2 linked regions of the Rattus norvegicus genome follow. The protein of the gene in region 1 interacts with the protein of each later gene in a biochemical or structural test. Links are inferred from orthologs where the notes say so. Each region holds a gene or a part of one and is shown in the gene's direction. Other genes may lie near its edges.

Region 1 (7,222 bases):
CAGAAGCCCCAGTCCCACGCACCCCATATGACTAGAGTACAGAGCCAGGATGGATTTTTATCTGGGCGTAATGTAAAAAATTAAAAGAGAAAATGAAGCACTAAGACACACACAGAAAATCCCTGTGAACAAACAAAGTCTGAGGCCTGGTCTGGGGGGAGGGTAGGGAGGAAGGAGTCATAGTAGGAAGGTAGGGGTGGGGTAAAGAGGTAATGATGAGAGTAAGGGGCTAGGAGAGGGGGTAGGGAGGTAGGGGTGGGATTTTATTCCAAAATCTGACCTGGATTGTAACTTTGGGCATTCATGTATCAGAAGATCCCAAAAGGGGCATTCAGGATGCATATGCCTGAGGTCTGCTGTATGTAGAGACTTAGACTCAAGGGTCAGCCATATTGCCCTGGATAAGTAGGTGCCAAGAGAGCCTTGTGGATAGCCTTTTAGAGCTGGCTCCAGGCCCAGAGTGCCATGAGATATAGTCCCAGGATCACAGAGATCCTGGCATTTTCTGTTTGCCCCAGTGTGAGATGCCAAATGTCCTCCCACTTCGAGTAGAGTTGAGCCTAGTGTACACACTGAGCCCCAAGAGAAGGAAAGGTCACACTTTCTGTCCCTCCAACTCCAGAGGGGTGCGGGTTTTGTTTTGTTCATTTGTTTAGTCGTGTGTTCTGTCCCGTCCCCCTTCCCCCTCCCTACCCATCTTTCAAGATATGGTTCTTTGTGTACTCTTGTCTGTCTTGGAACTCACTATGCAGACCAGGCTGCTGGCCTCAAACCTAGATATCTGCTTGCCTCTGCCTCCCGAGTGCTGGGGCTAAAGGTGTGCGCCAACACTGCCCTCTACCAGGCTTACTTGCCTTCTTTTATTCATAAGCAATTGGGAGCAGGAGAGGAGGTCAGCCTGGAGGCTGAGGTGGGTTCTACTTCAGACCTGAGCTAAGGAAGGCCCCCCCCGCCCCCCGCCCTGTGGTTCTCAGGAAGAGTTGGAGGGCTATGAGCTATGCACTCACTTCAGCTCCAGGAGCCCTACGCATGCACCAAGACTTGACATAGCCTGGTCTACACTGATAGCCACCGACCGCCATGCTCAAGAAATGGATATGCACCCACAAAATCCAAAGAGGCTGCCTTAGGGCTGAGTAGGTAGGAGCAGGTGCTACTGGTTCTGCGGAACACCCTGCCATGTGTTCTCAAGCTTGGATCCTGACCGGGACCCTGGGCAGAGTGTAAACAGAGGCTACTACCGTGAGAACTGAGGGGCCTTCTTTTCAGGGCTGTCCTTTAGCAGGATGGCTGAAGATGCTGAGTGAATGGCACAGCCAGCGCTAGGAATGTAATTTGGTGTGAGCCATCTGTCTTCTGTAGGTCATTCTATAGGGAACCATGTCATTCCCCATCCTTCATGGGGTCTGAACGTTTTCAAAAGGCTCACAGGGAGGTGTGGGGAGGGGGGTCTAGAGGTGGGAGCACAGTCAGAAGTGCTCCTTGAACTCTGGGAGGCCTTGGTGAGCTGGTTTTTGAGCCTTGCCATGACTGAACTAGTCCCGGTTGGTCCATCTGCAACTAAGTAGGAAGCTTTCAAAATTCTTTCTCCCAAGGGCTCTGAAGAACAAGTGCCCCTGAGTTCCCCACAATCTCCTTAGCCAGGACTATTTGTTTACAAATGAAGTTCTTAAGAAGCCAGGCATTGAGCGGGGCGGGGTAAAAGAGACATTGTCTTGAGTGAGGGGATGCTGGGAAGCTGACAGAACGTTGAAGACAGAAATGCAGACGGTGAGTGTCAGCTATGACCCCTGTCTAGGCTTTTGTGTTCTCTTTTGAGTGAAGAAGTGGGTCCCGACAATGCTCAGGAAAAGGACCGGTGTGGGAGGAGGTGCTGGAAGGAGAGAGGAGGGTGATTTCCTTGGAGGAGACTAGTGCCTGGACACGGGGTGGGTGGGTGAGGCGCTGGAAACCCCTAATGAGACTGTGGTATGGGGGTGAGGGGGATTGCTATCCTGTGAGTAAACAAGTGGAGTCACGGAGATGAGACTCTCTGGACTGCTGACTTTCAGGGGCTGAAAGGGTGCGTATAAGAAAGTGTCTGAAAATGTGGGTCAGAAAGAATTGCGGGACACAGAACAAGTCGCGCTCAAGTCAGCACGCTGCAGGTTGGCGGGGACAGCACGTTAGACCCAAGTCTCATGGACTTCCTCTCTCAGTGTCATTTTTTTCTCATCTGTAAAATGGGATTGTTGTCCAGAAAAAGGAGACATTCTCAGCTTCGGGTGAGTCCAACAGCTTCCTAATATGGTTTGAATGCAGGTAGGGTCTCTTGTGAATGGTCTTAAGTGCTCCAAGCTCCGGGGTCAGCATTGCCCCCTAGTGGCGATTTTGTGAACAGGCGGAGCAACGGGCAGGCAGGGAGGGCAGCTGCTGTCAGGTCGGCTTCAGTTCAGCATCTGTCGGTGGGAGCCAGGGCGCAGTCAGGACTTCCCCTGCAGAAGGCATGGTAGGTGAGCGGGATATGAGCCCTGACAGGCACGGCTCTCAGGGTGAGATGGGTGGAAACACTCTGTGGGGTACTTGGGGGTTGTTGGAGAGACCTCTCAGCCAGTCAGTTTATTTCTCTTTTTTCTGATGATTGTTGTCCCGGCCCTGCTGCCTGCTGACCCTTTCTCTAGGCACGGGGCACCTCTCTTGAACCTGGGCTGTCACCTGCCCACTCCCAGCTCCTCTCCTTGAGAGTTCCGAGTAGTGAGAACCCTAGGTACAAAGAATATAAAATAATTAAACTGGGAATGATTGAGGTGACAGAAAACAGAACCAAATTTGGGTCAAAGTACAGTTTTTAACTCCTTCACTTAACCCCTACGGTGGCTTTCTCTTCAGCCCAAGGTCATGCACACCTTTCTGCATGTCAGGTCTGCCCTGTGTCAATGGTTTTTGAGGATTAAATACCTGGACCTTTCCACCTGGAGTTGGGAAGGTCAGGTCTGCCCTGGCAGTTACTTTAGGAATCCTGGCTCTTCAAAGACCAAGCAATACTGCTGTTGCACCCACACCAAGTGGCTGTCCTGAAGTCTATCTTGAAAGGGAAACACCTGAAGGAGATAGCCAAGCCTGTTCTTGGAAAAAACTGTCGTTTATTCAAAGGTTTCAGGAGCTCCTGATATTCTCAGCAAAGGTCCAATCTTAACATTTAAAAATTTGTGTGTGTGTGTGTGTGTGCGTGCGCGCACGCAATTGTGTATAGAGGCTAGAGGATAACTCTTTTCGTTGTTTTTTTTATTGTTTTGGGTTTGTTGTTGTTGAAGACACGGTCTCTCTCCCTCTGTAGTCCTTGATGTCCTGGGACTTGCTCTGTAGCCTAGGCTAGCCTCAAACTCACAGAGACCTGCCTGCCTATGCTTCCCGAGTGTTGGGATTAAAACTGTGCACCACCACCGCCCAGACAATTTTTTTAAAGATTTTATTTTATTATATATAAGTACACTGTAGCTGTCCTCAGACATACGAGAGGAGGACATCAGATCCCATTACAGGTGGTTGTGAGCCACCATGTGGTTGCTAGGATTTGAACTCAGGACCTCTAGAAGAGCAGTTCATGCTCTTAACCACTGAGTCATTTCTCCAGCCCCCAATTTTATTATTTTTAAAGTTTGCACTTCGAGTACTTTGCAGTTGAAATGCACTTTATAGAGGGTGGCAGATGCTTTTCTTTCTCAGTGGCATGTGACTTATCAGCCCTCTACCAGGTGGCACTTTCAGTTGACATGACTTAGGACAGAGCTGGGATTACCTAAGTGACTTCTGGGCTTCTTCTCCCCTCTATTCTACATGCTCCTCCCTGCCTCAATTGTTCCTTCTTTCCTGGACAGCTCTCCCCAAATGCTTCAACAGGCCTCTTGTCCTGCAATGACAGTGAGTTCAAGGAGCACTTTGACCTTGAGGACCTGAACCTTACTCATGAGGACCTGAGGCTGAAGTACTTGGGGCCACAGCAGGTAAAACAATTTTTGCCCATCTGTGTCACGTACCTGTTGATCTTCGTAGTGGGCACTCTGGGCAACGGGTTGACCTGCACCGTCATCCTGCGCCAGAAGGCAATGCACACGCCCACCAACTTCTACCTCTTCAGTCTCGCGGTGTCCGATTTGCTGGTGCTCCTGGTGGGCTTGCCCCTGGAACTTTATGAGATGCAGCACAATTACCCATTCCAGCTGGGTGCAGGTGGCTGTTACTTCCGGATACTGCTTTTGGAGACTGTCTGCCTGGCTTCAGTGCTCAATGTCACAGCCCTAAGTGTGGAGCGTTATGTGGCCGTGGTGCACCCACTCCAAGCCAAGTCTGTGATGACACGGACCCATGTGCGCCGCATGTTGGGAGCCATCTGGGTCTTCGCTATTCTCTTCTCTCTGCCCAACACCAGCTTACATGGCCTCAGTCCACTCTATGTACCCTGCCGGGGGCCGGTGCCCGATTCAGTTACGTGTACGCTGGTGCGTCCCCAGTTCTTCTACAAGTTGGTAATACAGACGACCATACTGCTCTTCTTCTGTCTGCCCATGGTCACCATCAGTGTGCTGTACCTGCTCATTGGGCTGAGGCTGCGGAGGGAGAGGATATTGCTCCAAGAGGAGGTCAAGGGCAGGATATCTGCAGCAGCCAGGCAGGCCTCCCACAGAAGTATTCAGCTTCGAGATAGGGAACGCAGACAGGTGACCAAGATGCTAAGTAAGTGCCACTGTTAAGGAGGAAGCTCCACTGAGCTAACTCCCAGTCTGGGGAAGGAATTGAGCTTCCAGGGGGTTTTGTTTGTTTGCCTGTTATTTTGCTTTTGTTTTTCTGAGAAGGGGTTTCTTTGTGTGGCTCTGGCTGTCCTGGAACTCGCTATGTAGACCAGGCTGACTTTGAACTCAGCGATTCACCTGCCTCTGCCTCCAAAGTGCTGGGATTACTACCACCTGGCTCTCCTGCCTGCTTTTCAAGGATGGGAGGATGGTGAGCTGGAGAAGCAAACTCTAAACAGGACACAGATCAGATCGGGCTCTCTTCTCTGTTTTTGCAGTTGCTCTGGTTATAGTATTTGGCACCTGCTGGGTTCCATTCCATGCTGACCGTCTCATGTGGAGTATGGTGTCCCATTGGACTGACGGCCTGCGCCTGGCCTTCCAGTCTGTGCACCTTGCTTCTGGTGTCTTCTTGTACCTCGGCTCAGCGGCTAACCCGGTGCTCTACAACCTCATGTCCACTCGCTTCCGAGAGTCCTTCCGGGAAACCCTGGGCCTTGGGACACGGTGCTGTCATCGCCACCAACCGCGTCACGACTCCCATAGCCACCTTAGGTTGACCACAGTCAGCACCCTGTGTGACAGGAACAGCAGGGATGTACCCCTGGCTGAGAACAGGGATCCAGGGTGTGAGCAAGAGACAGACCCTCCTGAATAAAATCCTGTGGCCTCACCCACAGGGCCAGAGGGCCTCAGACACTCCGGGGGCTACTGGGATAAGCTTAGAAAGGGATTTCTGCCCTGCCACATATTTGAGTGTTGAGGGAAACAGCAAGAAAAAGAGAATTGAACCCCAGTTGCCAAAGACTTGCGTTAAAGGCCTGAAAAGGTGACTCTGCAGTTAAGAAAGCTTGTAGCTCATCCAGAGGACCCGAGTTCAGGTCCCAGCACCCACATGGCAGCTTACAACCACCTGTAACTTCAGCGCTAGGCCCTCTGACACTCTCTCTTGGCTTCTGAAGGCATCTACCACATGCACATGGCACATAGCACACACCCATATATTAAAAAGACCCGGGATTGGGGATTTAGCTCAGTGGTAGAGTGCTTGCCTAACAAGCGCAAGGCCCTGGGTTCGGTCCCCAGCTCTGAAAAAAAAAAGAAAAGAAAAAAGAAAAACCCACATTGATGGGCTCAGTGGTTAAGAGCACTGACTGCTCTTCCAGAGGTCCTGAGTTCAAATCCCAGCAACCACATGATAGCTCACAACCATCTGTAACGAGATCTGAAGCCCTCTTCTGGTGTGTCTGAAGACAGCTACAGTGTACGTATATATAATAAATACATACATAAATAAATCTTAAAAAAAAAAGACCCACATTGAACCAGATATATGCTGTATGTTCCTCCAAACCCATCACAGTTACATAGGGCTTAGCCATTATTCCCCCGGGGATCCCTCTTTCCTCTCAAGCTCATACATGTTTCCATTGGAAACCTACCTGTCATTCTAGTAGTTTCTGAACTTCCATAGGCTCTCCAGCCCTTGCACTATACTTAAGACGGTCTTCCCACCATGACCTTTCCTGGCACTCCTTCTGCACTGAGATCTGGGCCTGATCAAGCTGCCAGGTGGGCAGGGGTTCCAGGGGACCTGAATGTGATCTCTGCCTTTGTCACCATGTTGCTTTGTGGCAACAAGAAAATCACCCTGGCTCTCTAAGAGGCCTTGGTTCCTTGCTCGCCCATGTCACCTTCTGAAGGAACCTTGCTGTGTCGTCTGTGTGTACCACAATGGCTTCGGCTTATCTGCATCACTCCCAGACCCCACTTTCTCTCTGACCTTCTCATGGTCCTGCTCCAAGCTGTCAAGGGCAGGTCCTTTGCTTGTCCTGAAACAGACAGGGCCAACCTATGAGCAGTGCACTCCTGGCAGCCCGCAGACAGGCTGACCTGGCTGCCCCGGTGAACACATGCTAGATCCTGTTAGCCAGGGGATATATCTGGAAGAAGTAGCAGCTACCGTGAGGACCAGAAGTGGCTGTGCAGAGACGGTGTGTTGGTTAATCTGTGTCAGCTTGACAGAAACTAGAGTCACCTGAGAGAAGGAACATCAGCTGAGGATTTACATCTATCATACTGACCCGTGGACATGTATGTGAGACATTTTCATGATTAATACCTGATGTCACAGGACCCCACCCACGGTGGGTGGTGCCACTTCTGGGAAGGTGGTCCCAGGTTGTCTAAGAAAACAAGCTAAGTGAGCAATGAGGAGCGAGGGAGCCAGAGAACCAGATTCCACCCCACCCCCACCCCCGAGTGCTTCTGCTCCAGTTCCTGCCTTAGTTTCCTTTGATGATGGCCTGTAAGTGGAATAAACCCTTTCCTCACCAAGGTGGCTTTGGTCAGTTTTATCACAGCAATGAAAAGCAAGTGAGAGCACGAAGTTCTGTGAAGGGGACTATGGGGTCAAGGACAATACTTCTCTGGCATTTCATGCCATCCTGAAT
Region 2 (7,362 bases), on another chromosome or scaffold:
CAAAGATTGCCCATATTCAGCCTGTCCTCATACTTAGTTCTGACTTCTTTCCTTGTTAGAAATTGAAATTATACACACACACACACACACACACACACACACACACACACACACACATATATATATATATATATATATATATATATATATATATATATAGAGAGAGAGAGAGAGAGAGAGAGAGAGAGAGACCTTCCATTTAAACATTTATTCCTGATCTTTGCTCCTAAGGAAATAAGGAACCTAACTGCCCTTTGTCTTAATTTCCATGTCTCAGAATGACATGACCTGAGAGGCTGTTTCCTTAAACACATCTCCAAAAACATAAACTCATATAAAGATAGCAAGAAGTCAGGAGGAAATGTCTGTTGAGTTTAAACCAATAAAGGTTCCACAAGGCTTAAAGTCTCCACTTAAGTCAGTGAGAACGAAAACCAATGAACCAAGTGAAGGAGTAGGCAAAAGAGGTCAGTGGAAGAAGAAACAATGGTGGACAATATGCTTTTCAAAAGATAGGCAGTCTCATTGGCAGACTAGGAACTTCGAAGTACATCCACGGTGAAGTGTCATGCCCTCTGGGCTGGCAGAGATTTTTCTCCATGGACTAGCAGCCCCTGAAACTTCATTCTCTGCTGATGGGAGTCTTAGTATAACCATTTGAAATACTATTTACAATAGAGGCTAACTAGGTCAGCCCCTTTGACTTAGTAATCCCACCCCCGGGTATACACCTCAGAAAACTCTCCCACACATGGACTGGGAACACATTCGAGAACATTCATAGCAGTCCAGCTCAAGTCGTGCATGTGTTTCCTTAGACATTCCTGACACTGAGGGGGGTGGTAAAGGCAATACTGGGCGGTCACGGGAAACCCACACACAGTGGCTGCCAAGACCTGTGATCTCTCAGAGACCTCTGGGAGAAATGAGGCCAGATAACTTTTCTGTCCCCTGACCCCCCTGACCCACCCTTAGGTCCCTTAGATCCAGTGTACCACTTGCATTAATCCATTTATTACTACTTTCGGAGTAAATCAAAAAGGGGAATTTTCAGCCAATACGTTCTCATTCATAATTTTGTCATCCTCGTGTGTTTCTTGTATAAAATTAACTTCAAAACAGTAACCAGTATTCTCTGATCTGCTCATGAGGGTTTCATTCCTACTATTCTCTGTATTTCCAATTAACAGCCTATTCTCCCTGGAATTGCACAGCAATTGGGCATGACTTGGGGGTAATTAACCAAAGATTAATTATCATTAGGGAAAGTTCCTTCTACTAAATGGTGATTCCCTCAGAAGACCTGCCTTGCTTATCGTGGGTCACTCATGCATGCCAGAGGCCAGGAAACCCCATTGAGGAAGAAACCTGTGCCCATGCTCCTTCCCGGGCTGAGTTTGACTGGGTTACTCACTTTGTTCGCTAGGTTGTTTTACAAAAGCTTTTCTTCTTTTCTTCCTTCCTTTTTTTCTTATTTAAATGAATTTTTACACTGCAGATATGTCATGAATATTAAATGAAACTGCGCGGGAAAGTCCGTGGTTGCATGACCCCAAAATGCCCCTTTAAAAAACAGCAATGTGCTTCCTTCCTGCCCTTTCCTCCGAGCTCCTCGCCTATCAGAAAGAGGTTAAACAAGATAAGTTGCACTTTTTTTTCTGCAGAAGGAAATTAGAATCGTATTTCTCAGTGTCCTCTTAAGTGTCCCGGAGTGTGGGAATAGCGGACGTGAGGTTGCGAAGGAAATGAGAGAGAAGAGCATCCTTCTGACAGAATGGCCACTTGAGCCTTGGGTGCCCCACAGACAGCCCCCACCTTCTAACCGCTGCAAGTGCACCCAAGCCCTGCTCTTTCCTGACCACCATTTTACTGCATCTCCAGGAATGGTTTTGGACTTTGCAGGTGTTTGGGGGTTTAGATGGCACCGTCTTCACCCACATTGTGGTGGAAGCACTATCACTCTGATGCCCTGGGCACTGTGCATTGAACGGAGCTCACCCAGAGAAGGAAAAGAGGGGTGCTTGGATAGCAGGGGGATTCCTGGCTAGAGGAGCTGCAGGCCGGGAGACTTGCACAAATGGGTTGGCTGGGTATACTGTGGTATCCCGGAGACACAGGAGAGAGTGTAGCCACCACTTAACCACCCTGATCTCAGGCTCTGGAGGCTGACATCCCCTCCGGCTCCCACCCAAGTTCCCCTTCCACAGGTGGGAGTGGACCGCCATGGTTTAATTTCATTCTCCAGCTCAGAGCCGAATGCGTGGTTCCCTGAGTCAGACACCCGGCCAGGGAGCGCGTGTCCTGCGGAGGCGGCAGCAGGTCCGGGTGACGCCAGGGAGCCAGGGGCGGCGAGGTCACGCGTGGAGACTACGCCAGCCTAGCCCACGTGTGCGCCGGATTTAAAAGTTGGTGGCGCGCGGAGATGGTCACTTTGGTGTCTGAGCTCAGCAAGAGGCGCTCGGGGGACGCTGAGGGACAGCTTTAACACCCGCACAACACAGGGTACCTGGTTCCCAGTCCAGAGCTGCTTGGAGGGCAGAGATGTCGCGAGCAGCTAATCGCCGCCCAGGGCTCTCCGCAGGACAATTGGCCGCTGCAACTGCATCTCCTCTCCTGTCACTGCTGCTGCTGCTCGCCTGCTGTGCGGACGCTTGCAGAGGTAAGGTGCAATCATCCTACCTCACAGGGCCCCTCAGGCTGCCGCTGCACTAGTTTCTCCCCGCTACCTTCCTTGTCTCTTCCCTGGGCTTCTAGAATCCACCTCCCACTGAAGCCAGGATCTGAACCAGGACTGCAGGCACAGCTGGCTGTGGAGGGCGCAGGGCAGGCTGTAGACGCCATAGCCGGAGTTTAAAAAAGATTAAAACACTTTCCCTTTCATTGCAGTTATCGGAGGGACTTATGGTTGAAACAAAAGTCTGCTGGTCCTCTTGCCAAGGCAAGATAAAGTTGTGCTGCGCTGCGCCTCCTGGGAGATCAGCTGTCGAGTTACAAAGAGGAGGGACACAGGCTTACAGGGTTTCAGGATTAGAGTTCTCATCACAGAAAGTTAGAGTGAGCTTGCAAGGTTTATCTGGGTTTCCGGAGATGGGCGCTTAAGGTGGCAAGGCAGGTGGGATCCGATGACAACAGGGACCTCCCGAATGTGGCTCCGAGGAAACAGGAAAAGCAAGACCAGGGCGAGAGGTCTCAAGCACGGATGAGTGGCAGAGCAAAATGTGTCCCTTGGTTCTGTAAAGAACGTTTAGTTACCAGGTAACCTGGGGGGCTGTCATTCATTCCTGCCTTCTGAAGGTCCTTGAAATCCCAAACACTGCCTTGTTACAAACGGAATTCTCCAGGTGCTGCTTATTTTTCAGAGGCGTTGAAGATTTAAATATCACGGCCGCAGAGCACTGTGGGAGCTCATGGATGAGCCCTCAATTAGAGCTGGGCAGAGAGGACGAGTATTCTTTTCCTGGCCCGTCTTTGTTGCCTTCATTTCAGTATTTAACTTCTGTTCCTGAGACATTGAAGGGGAACAGGCTCCCTCACCTGAAAGCCAGTTCAAGTAGGACAGCAGCAGGGACAGTATGAGAGCTCATCTGATAAAGGTACCCTACTACCAAGCACAAAGACCGAAGTTCAAGGCTGGGTTTGGTGGAGTACGCCTTTAATGCCAGCACTAGGGAGGATGAGGCAGATGAAGCTCTGTGAGTTCCAGGCCAGCCTGGTCTACAAAGTGAGTCCAGGACAGCAGAGGCTACACAGAGGAACCCTGTCTCAGAGAGAGAGAGAGAGAGAGAGAGAGAGAGAAAGAGAGAGAGAGAGAGAGAGAGAGAGAGAGAGAGAGAGAATGAACGAACTTGAGTTCGATCCCCAGGACCCACAAATTGTCCTCTGAAATAAAGAAAAACCAATAGCAAAATGGCAGCCATGTGATAGCATATTATTCTTGTGCAGTAGTGGTTTACCATGATTTATGCAAGCTAAATTAGCCTTTTCTCTTTTAAATGCTTTATTAGAAACATTAGAATGATAATTTTATTTGCCTTCTTAAGAAAGGAAATAATTGTAAAGGTTATTTTTTTTGTTGTTTTTAAAGAATTCAGGCTTATTTAATACAGTGCAAAGAGATCAGCAGCCTGACAGCCTGGCAGTAGCAGATAAACTTTCTGTAGCCAGATAATCATAGTCTTTACTTGATTTATTTATTTGTTTGTTTATTTAAGATATATGGGCATTTTGTCTGCATGTATGTCTGTCTGTTACATGTGTACCTGGTGTCCAGAGAGGTCAGAAGAGGGTGTGGCCTCCCCTGGGACTAGAGTGACAGCTACCACAAGAGTTCTGAGAAGTAAACCCAGGCTCTTTAGAAGAACATACAGTGCTCTGAGCATTGACCCAGCCCTGATAACCACAGCTTTAAAACAATTGTTTTGTTGGGGTGGGGGGGGAAGCTATGCTTTCTACGCATGTTGCATGCAGAATGTGCTTGTGACGGCTTCTGCAGCTATCGGAATGACTGTCTTGGAGAGCTGGGTGGTCAGTTCCTAAAAAAAAAAAACAAAAAAACAAAAAAACAAAAAAACAAAAAAACAAAAACAAAACAAAACAAAACAAAACAGACGAGCCTTCAGTTTTATTCCCAAAAGAGCAAAACTGCTGACTGATCAACCGAGTCATAAGTAACCTTGATGTTATTCAAGCAAAAGGCTTCCTTCACTCTCAGGAAGCCCCCTGACTGCCGTTTTCTGTCTTTGTTCCCTTTCAGACATGAAAAAACAAATCTCATTTTTAAAAAAATGTAGTGAGGTGTGCTTGTGGGTGGGTGTCAATAGGCAGTGTAGTCTGCCTTAGTTCCAGATCATCTAAATGTGGGGTAGGGACATGCATGGCACACATAAGCAAAAGTTGGAGGTAATCTAACAAGAGCAATCAGTCTACATCTAAAAATGACAAGAACAAATGTCATAAAGCCAGAAGGAAACGAGTGTCAGTAAATGTATCATCCTTAGAAAAAAAAAAAAACAGAAACAAAAACAAACAAAACACCCACAAAAACCAAAACACGAGCAGAGTACAGGAGGGCAGAGATAATGAGATAGAGAAGCCAGTATGCTGGGTGGAAATGCCTCACTCAGAGAACATGTTTGAAGAGGGAAATTTCTCATAAAGACCGACAGAGTTTGGGTGTCCGCCAGTCACTTGATTATGCCTGCAGCCATAAGAGATCATGGCCAAGGCTGATTTAAAGCATGTCTTTCCTGCTAAGATCTTTCATTCATTGACTGATTGGAAACGTTCAGTGACTAGTAACTGATTTCTCAGATGCTAACCCTTCAGGGAAGTGTTTGGGAGAACACTGGTGCCACCTTTCCCATGATCAGGTCTGTTTTTTTACATAATGCTTAAGTAGAAATACCTTGACAGGGATGACCGGAGGCTTTCGTGTTAGTGATGTAGGGGTAAAGGGTGGTGTCGTTTTGGAAAATGTGGATGGTAGTACAAATGCTTGTTTCTTCAAGTGCCGTGTTAGGCTGGCATGCAAGGTGACCTGGGTTGAGTATGGCTTCCAACGCTTTGGGTCTTGCTTCCCAGTGTGTTAACACCAAGAGGTAATGAAACCTTGAGCAGCGGGGTTAGTGGGACATGGGTGGGAGACTGGGGACATGGCCCTCAGAAGGGATTAAAGGTGTTGCCTTGGAAGTCTGGTTCCTTGGAGAGTGGGTTGTTTAAGACTGAGATTGGCTCCTCCCTGATCTTGGGCTTTCTCTCTCATTACACAATTGCTCTAGCTGGTTCTCTATCCACCCCGAGGCCCTCGCCAAGGGTTGGAGCTTAAACTGGCAGTTTCCAAAACTGTGAACTAAATGAATCTCCTTTCTTTACAACTTACCCAGCAGAAACCAGAATACAGCAAGTGGCTTAACAGGAGCATTGTATCAACTCTAGTAGCCAGTCAGAAAAAGGGAGAACCGTGCTCCCTTTGTTGGGATTCAGTCTGATGACAGTGGGTTTCTATCAACTCTAGAGAACCATTTTGATTTGGGGGCTCATCAAACCCCAAGGCTGTGCTTCTGTGTTTTGCATAAGGGCCACTAAAGAGGCTCCACCCTCCCTTTAATTTTGATATTAGTGGTTAGAACTGTTCATCACAATGGCAATTTCAAAGTGGCTCATGGATACTTGAGTCAAACTCCTAAGGGTCTTGGTGGGGAAGTCTGACCCTTATGCCGGACAGCTGAGACGGAAGCTTCATTTTGTCCTGGGGTGGAGAAGGGTTAGGGACATAACACTGCGTTCTTTAAACAGAAATGCCAGGTTTGGAAAGGTTAGCTGAGTGGTTAAAGGCATTTGCCGCTCATACAGAGGACCTGGGTTCTGTCCCCAAGCAACTACATGGGATCTTGTAACTGTGACTCCAATTCCACGGGATTTGATGGCCTCCTTGGGCACAAGACATGAGCAGAGTGCATATGTCCACACGCAGACAAATACTCAGACATAGAAAATGAAGATAAGTAAGTCACAGAAATGCCTGTCAAACAGAATCTCAGAATCAGTAAGATCTCCAGGTACTTGACATGAAGATTTGAAATCACAGATTAATCCTTTCCCACAAGCACAACGAGCTCAGAATGTGACTCATCAGGCAACTGTGGTCTGACATGAATGTTTGTGGTATGGAGAGCAATTTATCACTGAAGAGTGTGAAGAACTTTATAGAAGGGGGTTCCTTACCAGGGGGTTCCCCCAGAGTCTGAACTTAACCAGCCCTTTATATGATGCTTCTAAGTTGTTTGTAAAACTCACAGAAAGGACTGTCACGGTTGTGAAAGGTCTTATGAGTTATGACCCTCTGTTTGAGTTCTAGGGCATACATGCATGCACACATGTGATGTGTGCACACCTGCACCAAAGCGCGTGCGCGTGCGCGCGCACACACACCAGAATTAGGTCAATAACACAGAAAGTGTAGTCCATCATGGTTGTTATTATAACTTAAATTAAATAACAGGAAAAGCCTGCTAGATCTTGAGCCAATGATGAGCACAAAGTAGGAGACTTAGGGAAAATAGGACTCACCGGAATCTTATAGTCAGTCAGAGATATTGGGCAATATTCAATGAAGCCAGGCCCAACAGTCCATATCTGTAATTCCAGCACTCAAGAAACTGAGGCAGGAGGATTGTGATTTTGGGGTAGCTTGGGAGCCGTGGTGACCCTGTCTTTAAAACAAAAGTAATCACGTTTCTTGCTACCTTTTCATTTAGGCAGTCTTAGGCAAAGTAGCGAGCTTCTGCTTTCTTCTCGTGAGTTGGAAATGATGGTGGTGATGGTGGTGATAAGGATTAACTAATAATGCCTCTCTGGGAAGTT

Evidence for each region.
Region 2: the proteins of Nmur1 (region 1) and Nmu form a complex in vitro, tested with the Homo sapiens proteins (2 studies listed by BioGRID). The link is inferred for Rattus norvegicus from reciprocal best matches to the Homo sapiens genes NMUR1 and NMU.

The regions. Positions count from the first base shown.
Region 1 is NC_086027.1:94,479,886-94,487,107, reverse strand, and holds Nmur1 (neuromedin-U receptor 1), read left to right. Parts: upstream 1-2,454; 5' UTR 2,455-2,485; coding exon 2,486-2,488; intron 2,489-3,857; coding exon 3,858-4,713; intron 4,714-5,047; coding exon 5,048-5,427; 3' UTR 5,428-5,870; downstream 5,871-7,222. UniProt on the Homo sapiens protein: Receptor for the neuromedin-U and neuromedin-S neuropeptides.
Region 2 is NC_086032.1:32,196,514-32,203,875, forward strand, and holds the start of Nmu (neuromedin-U precursor), read left to right. Parts: upstream 1-2,429; 5' UTR 2,430-2,541; coding exon 2,542-2,659; intron 2,660-7,362.